Canis lupus familiaris: one gene and its partner. The protein of the gene in region 2 interacts with the protein of the main gene of each other region in a biochemical or structural test. Links are inferred from orthologs where the notes say so. Each region holds a gene or a part of one and is shown on either strand. Other genes may lie near its edges.

Evidence for each region. The genes of interacting proteins can lie anywhere in the genome.
Region 1: the proteins of PRKCZ (region 2) and PARD6B form a complex in vitro, tested with the Homo sapiens proteins (2 studies listed by BioGRID). The link is inferred for Canis lupus familiaris from reciprocal best matches to the Homo sapiens genes PRKCZ and PARD6B.

The regions. Positions count from the first base shown.
Region 1 is NC_049245.1:37,729,214-37,732,953, forward strand, and holds the start of PARD6B (partitioning defective 6 homolog beta), read left to right. Parts: upstream 1-1,266; 5' UTR 1,267-1,328; coding exon 1,329-1,394; intron 1,395-3,740. UniProt on the Homo sapiens protein: Adapter protein involved in asymmetrical cell division and cell polarization processes. Probably involved in formation of epithelial tight junctions.
Region 2 is NC_049226.1:57,486,846-57,490,585, forward strand, and holds the start of PRKCZ (protein kinase C zeta type), read left to right. Parts: upstream 1-1,521; 5' UTR 1,522-1,586; coding exon 1,587-1,657; intron 1,658-1,818; exon of another isoform or gene 1,819-1,957; intron 1,958-3,154; exon of another isoform or gene 3,155-3,169; coding exon of another isoform or gene 3,170-3,231; intron 3,232-3,740. UniProt on the Homo sapiens protein: Calcium- and diacylglycerol-independent serine/threonine-protein kinase that functions in phosphatidylinositol 3-kinase (PI3K) pathway and mitogen-activated protein (MAP) kinase cascade, and is involved in NF-kappa-B activation, mitogenic signaling, cell proliferation, cell polarity, inflammatory response and maintenance of long-term potentiation (LTP).

The sequences.
Region 1 (3,740 bases), on a different chromosome or scaffold from region 2:
CTCCTCACTTCCCTGGCGCGGCCAGTACTGTTTTAAACAGCCTCCCTGCGAGAAGGAACCGCGCTCTGGGGCATTTAAAACAGAGGGTTGTCTTTTATCAAGGACGGAGTTCTATCGCCCCACGGAGAAAAGAACATTGTCCAGAGGCTGCCGTTGGTGGAAACAGCAAACGGCGAAGAAACGGCTGGAGGAGGGAGAAGACTTCGCGAGCAGAGCCTAACGCAAGCCCTGGGAGGCCGATCCGAAGTCCTGCGCGCGGCCATGCACCCTGGGCCTCCGCCCACTTCCCCTCCCTCGCGGCGCCCTCTCGACCCCCTGGGACCCGCGGACGAAACCGAGCCCGCGGAGCCCCGATGCTCTCCCCCAGTAACTGTTGCAGAGGCGGGAGAACTTTTATTCCGTAGCCAGAGTTGCAGACGGACTCCCGAAGCACCCAGCCGGGCGGTGGAGGGGAGCCTCTGCAACTGCAGCCCCCAAAGCGGACTGCGGCGGGGGCGGGCGCGAAGCCAGCGGCACCTCCGCGCCCCGGGGCCCCGCGGGGCAGCGCGGTCCCACCCCCAGCCCGGCGCGCCCTCGCCCGACCCGGCCCTCGGGCGCGCGCCTGCGCCTGCGCTTGCGCAAAACGCCCCCGCCCCAGCGCCTCTCCAGGTGCGCTCGCGCTTCCGGCCGGCCTTCCCGAGGCGGAAACACCAGAGCCCGCGCATGCGCCTTCCAGCTCTCCTGCTAGGTCCGGGGAGGGGGGCCCAAGGCTTCAGGTGATCCCGCCCCTCCCTCGCAGCGCGGGACCAATCGCGAGGCGGTAGGCGGGATTTTCGCGGAGGCGGCCCGCCCACACGCTCGCGAGGCGGGTTTCGATTGGCTGGCGGCGCGGGCGCAGGTGCGCGCTTCCTATTGGGTGTGGGCGGAGCGCGAGCCGCCGAGGCTTCTGCCGAGGCTGCAGGTGAGCGCGCGCGCGCCGCGGCTCCCTCCCGGGCTCGGGTGCGCGCGCGCGGGCCGGCGGGGGAGGCGGCCGGGAGCGAGCTCGCGGCGCCCGTCGCCTGTGCTCCGCCCCCTCCGCCGTCGCGGCCGCCGCCGAGGCCCGGAGGGAGGGAGTCGCGTCCCCGCCCGCCGCGCAGCCAGTCGGACCCTCGGTGCCGCCGCGAGCAGCCGGCCGAGCGGAGCTCCGCGCCCAGAAGCCGAGTCGCGGCCGCCGCTCTGCAGGTGCCGGTGCGGAGGCGCCCGGGCCGCAGCCGCGTCCCCGGCCCCGGCCCCGTCCCGCCGGCCGCGACTCCCCGCGCTCCCGAGGGGCGGCCCGGCCGCAGGAGGCCGCCGCGGGGCCCGGCCTCAGCATGAACCGCAGCCACCGGCACGGGGCGGGCAGCGGCTGCCTGGGCACCATGGAGGTGAAGAGCAAGGTGCGCGGGCCCGGGGCCGGCGGGGGCGGGGGCGGGGGGCCGGGGCTGCCCGCTGGCTGCGGCCGCGGGGCGTGCGGGGCTGCCCGGTGCACTCGCCGAGAAGCGGGCGAGGGTGGGGCCTTGCGTTTGCTCCCGGCCCAGGTGGGAAGGCCCGCGGAGCCCTTGCCCTCCTGGGGTCTCAGCCCGGGGCGGGGATGGCAGGCGTCTGAGCGCAGTGTGGGCGAAGGCTTGGGGACGTTGTAGCTCCCGGCCTGTGAGTAGCAGGTATTGGAAACACGCGCGGTCACAAAATGTTACCCCTTCCCGTGGTCCAGGGGTGCATCGAGCGGTGAGACGGCGAGCCCAGGGCCCTGAAGAGCCCTTTGAAAGTTGGCTTTGCTTCCTGCTAGGGATTTTTCCAGCACTCCCTTTGGTATGCGTCCTATTTATAAGAATTAACACTATCACCTTTCGTTTGAGTAGCCCTTTACAGTTTGAGGCTGGATGCTCTCTTCATTCCATCGTGCTGCCTTTTCACATCAAGTGTTTTCCTTCCTGACCGACGGTATGCCAGCCTGCTGAAAATTCCGTCCATATCCACTGAATTCCTAAATTGCAAGGCTCCCCGAGCAGGGGAGTCTGTAGGGATTAGTTAGAGAATGCTTTCCAAAGGGGGTTTCGAGCTGGAATTTGAAGGTGATCGGCAACCACAGCAGCATTTTCAGCAAGCATTTTGTGAGTTGAAGAGCCAAAGGAGCTCAGATAATCTAGTTTGATTCTCTTGAGAAAACGGAGGGGTCAGAAAGGTTATGACTTCGCCAGGCTCTGCTTTTATGACAAAACCTGGAAGGCTTTTTACAGATAACTTCTAGACTCTGTAGAACAAACGTGTTTTTGAGAACATTAAAAACAGTTAACAAAACCAAGACACAAGAATGGGAGAACAGTACGAGCAGATCAGCTTCAAAAATAACGAAACACCATTGAGTGTAAGACTACAGAGGGCAAATCCAAAATCAGGGAGTGGTTTTGAGTGAAGTGGAGTAAGAAAAGCTCCCCGGAGCCTGGGGGTGGAATGGTTTTATCTAGAGCTGATAAGCAAAGTTCTGTGAGTTGCTGGGAACTGAGATCTTCACATCAAGAGTATCTACATTCATTTTAAACATCGTTTGAAAATGTTATTTGTGACCTCTGGAGCAGGATAGGCAAGTGGGTTCACAGAAACCGTTCTGCTTAATAAGAATAGAAATGTAATTATAGCAATTTAAGGACTGTGTTTTTTCTTTCCTGTGCCCTGCACAGAATCACTAGAGCAAATTGAAGGGACATGGCTTGAGCTAAGGGTTAAGATGACTCCAAATATACAGGATTTTTCCTCGAGCGGTATAGCAGCGGTAGTGGTTCTGTGCCCACTGGTTGAACTTTCTCAGGCATTTCTGCCATAAATCTAGTTTGCGTCTGTGGGGGTTGAGGTTAAGAAAAGAAAAACACTTATGATATTGCATAATCTTAAAATTCAGTTTGTGGTCCTAATCTTGGTAACAAGTCTTGAACTTTTTATCGTAGGAAAAAAATGAGTAGAGAGTCTAGGTGCACCGATAAATACAATCAAATGGTAATTTATCTCCTGGACTAGAAACCTGGAGCACTTTTGGGACTGGAATTTCAGGCTTTCTGCCCTTTCTCTTCTCTCAACTGACCTGTGAATCTTTCCCACACTTACATCTGTACTACACGTTGTATATTTGAGCTGCCATGCTGCACTCGTAGTGAACCATGTCTCTTAAATAGAATCGAGGCATTCTGAGGACCTGCACCAAATGAGGTGTGGTTCCTCTTGTTGTTCTAGATCTTGCTGAATAGACACAATATTAGGTACTGTTTTTAGCATCTGTGACACTGTTTTAAATAGATATTGTTGAGACATTTATTTTTAGTGGATTAAATGAAACACTTGTCATCTTTATCATTTAAAAAGTATTTAGACAGATGTTTGAAACAATATTTCTCTTTGTCCCTGCCTTGGTGATATCACAGCTTTTTTCAAAACTGATTGTCGGGAAGTTGTAACCACAGCCAGGTAACGTGCAGATCCACATTTCAAGATCTCTTTTTCTTCTGCATAGAAAACAGTGTCAACTGTATCATCTGAGCAGAGCTGGGGAAGTTCTTAATAATGAAGGTGATATCCCTCAGTAACCTTGGAACAGTCTTTGGGCCGTACATTTTCTACTTATTATTCATGGGCAAACAGCATTAAAATTAACTTTGCATTTCTCGAATGTACCAACAGATGCTGGGAGAAGGCCACATCCTGGGTGGCCAGGACAAACTAGATTGGCCTAAAGAGTTATAAATGGTTCATGT
Region 2 (3,740 bases):
ATGGGCTTTCAACAGGTTTCTCTGTGTCCATCCCTCTGGAGATGATGAGTTCCACGACCATAAATCACCGTCCACTTGGTTCTCCAGGCTCACCCCAGAGCCTAGTACCAAGGAGGTACCAGGAAGCCTCCGTGGAATGGGAGTGTGAGTACCCAGTACCAGAAGCCTGTCCAGGTGAGGAGTGAAGGCTTGGCGGGCCTGGAGTCCCAGGTCAGAGGTTGCCCCCTGGGTGGTGTGGGGAAGGGGAGGAGGGGGCTTGGCGGGGAGGAGCGAGTGCAGACCCGAATCTGGGGTGCCCACGTGGTGCCCAGGTGAGGTCCTACAAACAAACGCCGGTGTGGGCCACGTGGAGGCAACCAGGCAGCGACACGACCGCTGAGGAGCGGGCAGGGAGGGTGTTCAGAGGCGCTAATCCGGATCAAGTGCAGCAGTTATGACGACCCACGGAGGTGTGGACTCAAAAATGAAGATCGTGGGGCAGCCCGGGTGGCTCAGCGGTTTAGCGCCACCTTCGGCCCAGGGCCTGATCCTGGGGACCCGGGATCGAGTCCCACGTCGGGCTCCCTGCATGGAACCTGCTTCTCTCTCTGCCTGTGTCTCTGCCTCTCTCTCTCTCTCTCTCTCTCTCTCTGTCTCTCATGAGTAAATAAATAAAATCTTAAAACAAAAAACAAAACAAAAATGAAGATCGTGGGCGACGTGGGCAAACGCAGGGTCCTCGTCCCGGCCAAAGAGTCAACCGGAGCAGAGGCAACCGCCAGCTAGTGTAGACAGCGGGATCTTGGGTTCGGCACGGGGAGGAGGGCGGCCGGGGCCAGGGAACCAGCGGGGCCGGACCGTCCTCGTGACGCTGGCTCCGCGGCTCAAACCTCTCGGACTCGAGCTCGCCCCGGGTCCCGCAGCGCGCGTCCGCGCGGACTGCCGGAGTTTCGGTTGCGTGAGTCTGGGATGGGGCAGTCCCCACGGCCCGCCTTCGCAGCGGGCTCCCGGGCGCGGCGGCGGAGGGGCCCCCCCGGGGAGCGCGGCCCCGGGAGCCCACCTCGCCGAGGGGCCAGAGCGCGGGGCCCGCAGCGCGCCGCCTCCCGTTGCCGGGCAGAGCCGGGCCGCGCGCGCTTCCATTGGCCGCAGGTGGGCCGCGCCCCGCCCGACAGGTAGACCGCCCCGCGCCGAGCCATTGGGTCGCGGCCGCGGGGACCCCCGGGGATTGGCCCAGGTGGCGGCCCCGCCTCGCCCTCATTGGCCGCAGGTGCCACCGCCCCCGCCCCGGGACCGCCCGTCCCGCCGATTGGCCGCCCGCCGGGCCCCGGGTCGGCCATATTCGGACCCTCCGCACCCCCCGCCCCCGGGCCTGGCGCCGGGAGTCCGTGCGCTCCCGTCGCGCGCCCCCGCGGGCCGAGCCCCCCGCCCGCCCGCCGTCCAGGTTCCGCGGAGGTGGCCGGCCCCGCGCCCTGGGGCCCCGCGCCGCGCGCGCCCTTCCGCGTTCCGCCGCCGGCCCCATCCTGGCGCCCCGGCCGGCCGCCGGGTGCCCATGGCCCGCGCGCTGACGGCTGACGGCTGACGGCTGACCGCGGCCGGCCGAGCGCGCCATGCCCAGCAGGACCGGCCCCAAGATGCACGGGAGCGGCTGCCGCGTCCGCCTGAAGGCGCACCACAGCGGGTGAGCGCGCCCGCCGTCGGGGCCCGAGCGGCCGCCGCTGCGCGCGGGAGGGAGGGGGCGCCCCGGGCGGGCGGGGTCGCCGGTGGGGGCCGCGCCGGGCCCTCGCTCCCCGGGTCCGTGCGGCGCTGGCGCGGCGCTGCCACTGCCTCTGCGAAGGTGGCCGGACGTGAAGGCCACGGACCTGTGAGCACTGAAGTTTTTGTCACATGAAAACCGCCGGCCGAGCTGTAAAAATCCGGGTTTCCTAGGCGTTTCCCAGTTTACCCGGCCGGAGGGCTCGGCGGCACGATCCCGGGGAAGGTGAGGGGCACCGGGCAGCCCGCGGGCGCGCCCACTGGGGCGGGGCGGGGCGGGGCGGGGGCCCCCTAAGTCCCTAGGCGCCGCTCTGTTGGAGCCGATCTTTCGGACTCTGATCCGCTCCGCGCCCGCGCGGCGCCCTGGACTCGATGTGCCCGCGGTAAAATGGGGCGAGCGGGCACCGCTCAGGGGTCAGAGGCCGGGCGCGCCGGGCCACGCCCGGGAGCGCGCACCCTCCGCCGCCGCGGGGCAGCCCTGCTGGTGGTGCGGGGGGTGGCGCGGCGCCCGCGGCCCGGCCGGGATCCGGCCTCAGCCCCCAGCGCTCGGGGGCAGCGGAAACCCTGCTGCTGCGGCTGCTTGACGCCCGTGGTCTCCCCAGAGGTGCGCCTCCTGCTGCATCCTCCAGATTGAGGAGGAGCCTGGGGCTCTTGACTCGGTGAGGGCACCTCTTTTGGGGTCTCAGGTCACACCTGTCCTGTGCCTTCTGCCATGGTCATCTGGGTCACCTGGCAGAGTGGGTGACAGGGCTCTGGGGAGGAGTGATTTCTGGGGGGACCGTGGCCAGCCCACCTGAAGAGGTCTGCCTGTGGACTCATGCAGGGCCAGAACAGGTTGGCTCTCTGGCTGGTGAACCCGGTGGAAAGCCTGTCCCCATATCTGACAGTCCTCTTCCCAGCCAGGAACTGTGGGATTGAGCAATAAGCCACTTTGTGAAAAATCAGAGTTGGTCCTCAGGGTGAGGAAGTCCACACCCCAGCCGCTTGGCCCGGGGTGGGTGGAGATGGGACCCCCCACCCCCCAGCCCCCCAGCCTGCCCCCAGGCTGGGCTCAAGGAAGCAGTGTCAGGCACTGGGTGGAGGGGTGGGGGCAGGCAAAGTGGACTGGAGCCTGGGAGTTCTGGAGGGAGCCTGCTGCCCCCAGCCCTGCCCCCTACTTTGGCCCCTGGAGAGTGCTTTGGTTACTGCCAGTAATGTGACCTGTTGGGTTTGGTTCCTGGGCTGATGAGGCGTCCACTCATCCTGTTCTCTTCCTCATCCCCTCCCTCTTCCTCCTCCTCCTCCCACACTCTTCCTTTCTCCCTTGGTGGTAGGTAGTACCTGGACTGTACTGAGGTTCCTGCCTTACCCCTGCTCCCCACTCCCTCCTGCTGCCCCTGCCCTGGTCCCTCCCCCAAGGGGCTCACTTATCCAGGCCTCCAGGGTCCTGGTACTCCGGATGGACTATGCTGCCGCCTGGCTGCTGGGAGGTTGTTTTGGACAGCGGGGCCACAACAGAAGGTCAGACCCATTGAAGATGTCATTGTTAAAAATAGGGAGCCCCCAAGTTGGCCTTTGGAGGATGTGCCGTCACCAGGGTCTGAGTGGGGTCCAAGCAGGATGCAGCAGTACCGTGTTTTGAGGGTATTTCCAGGTAATGAATGTACCATGGAGGTGGAGACCCTGCTTTGCCAGATTGAGTCTCAGCCCTTGTCTAACTAAGCTCACAGAAACAACCACATGGGGGTCTTCCTCTTTCCAGCTCCAGTCTGGTCTGCTGTTCACACCATCAGCTTTGGGGGAAGGTCTGATGAAGCCAGTGGGCTTGAACTGGACGCACTGTCCACCCCACCTGTACCCCTCCTATGTGACCTTTTGAGTGGAATTTGAACTTGATGCCTGAGCAAGTGCTTGCCCGGCTTCCACAGTCCATGCTTTCTGATACCCCCACTTCTCCATCTAGGCACATCTAGGCACAGGATAGATCTTTCCTTTCTGTGCTGGGGCATCCATGAGACTGGTCAGTAGTT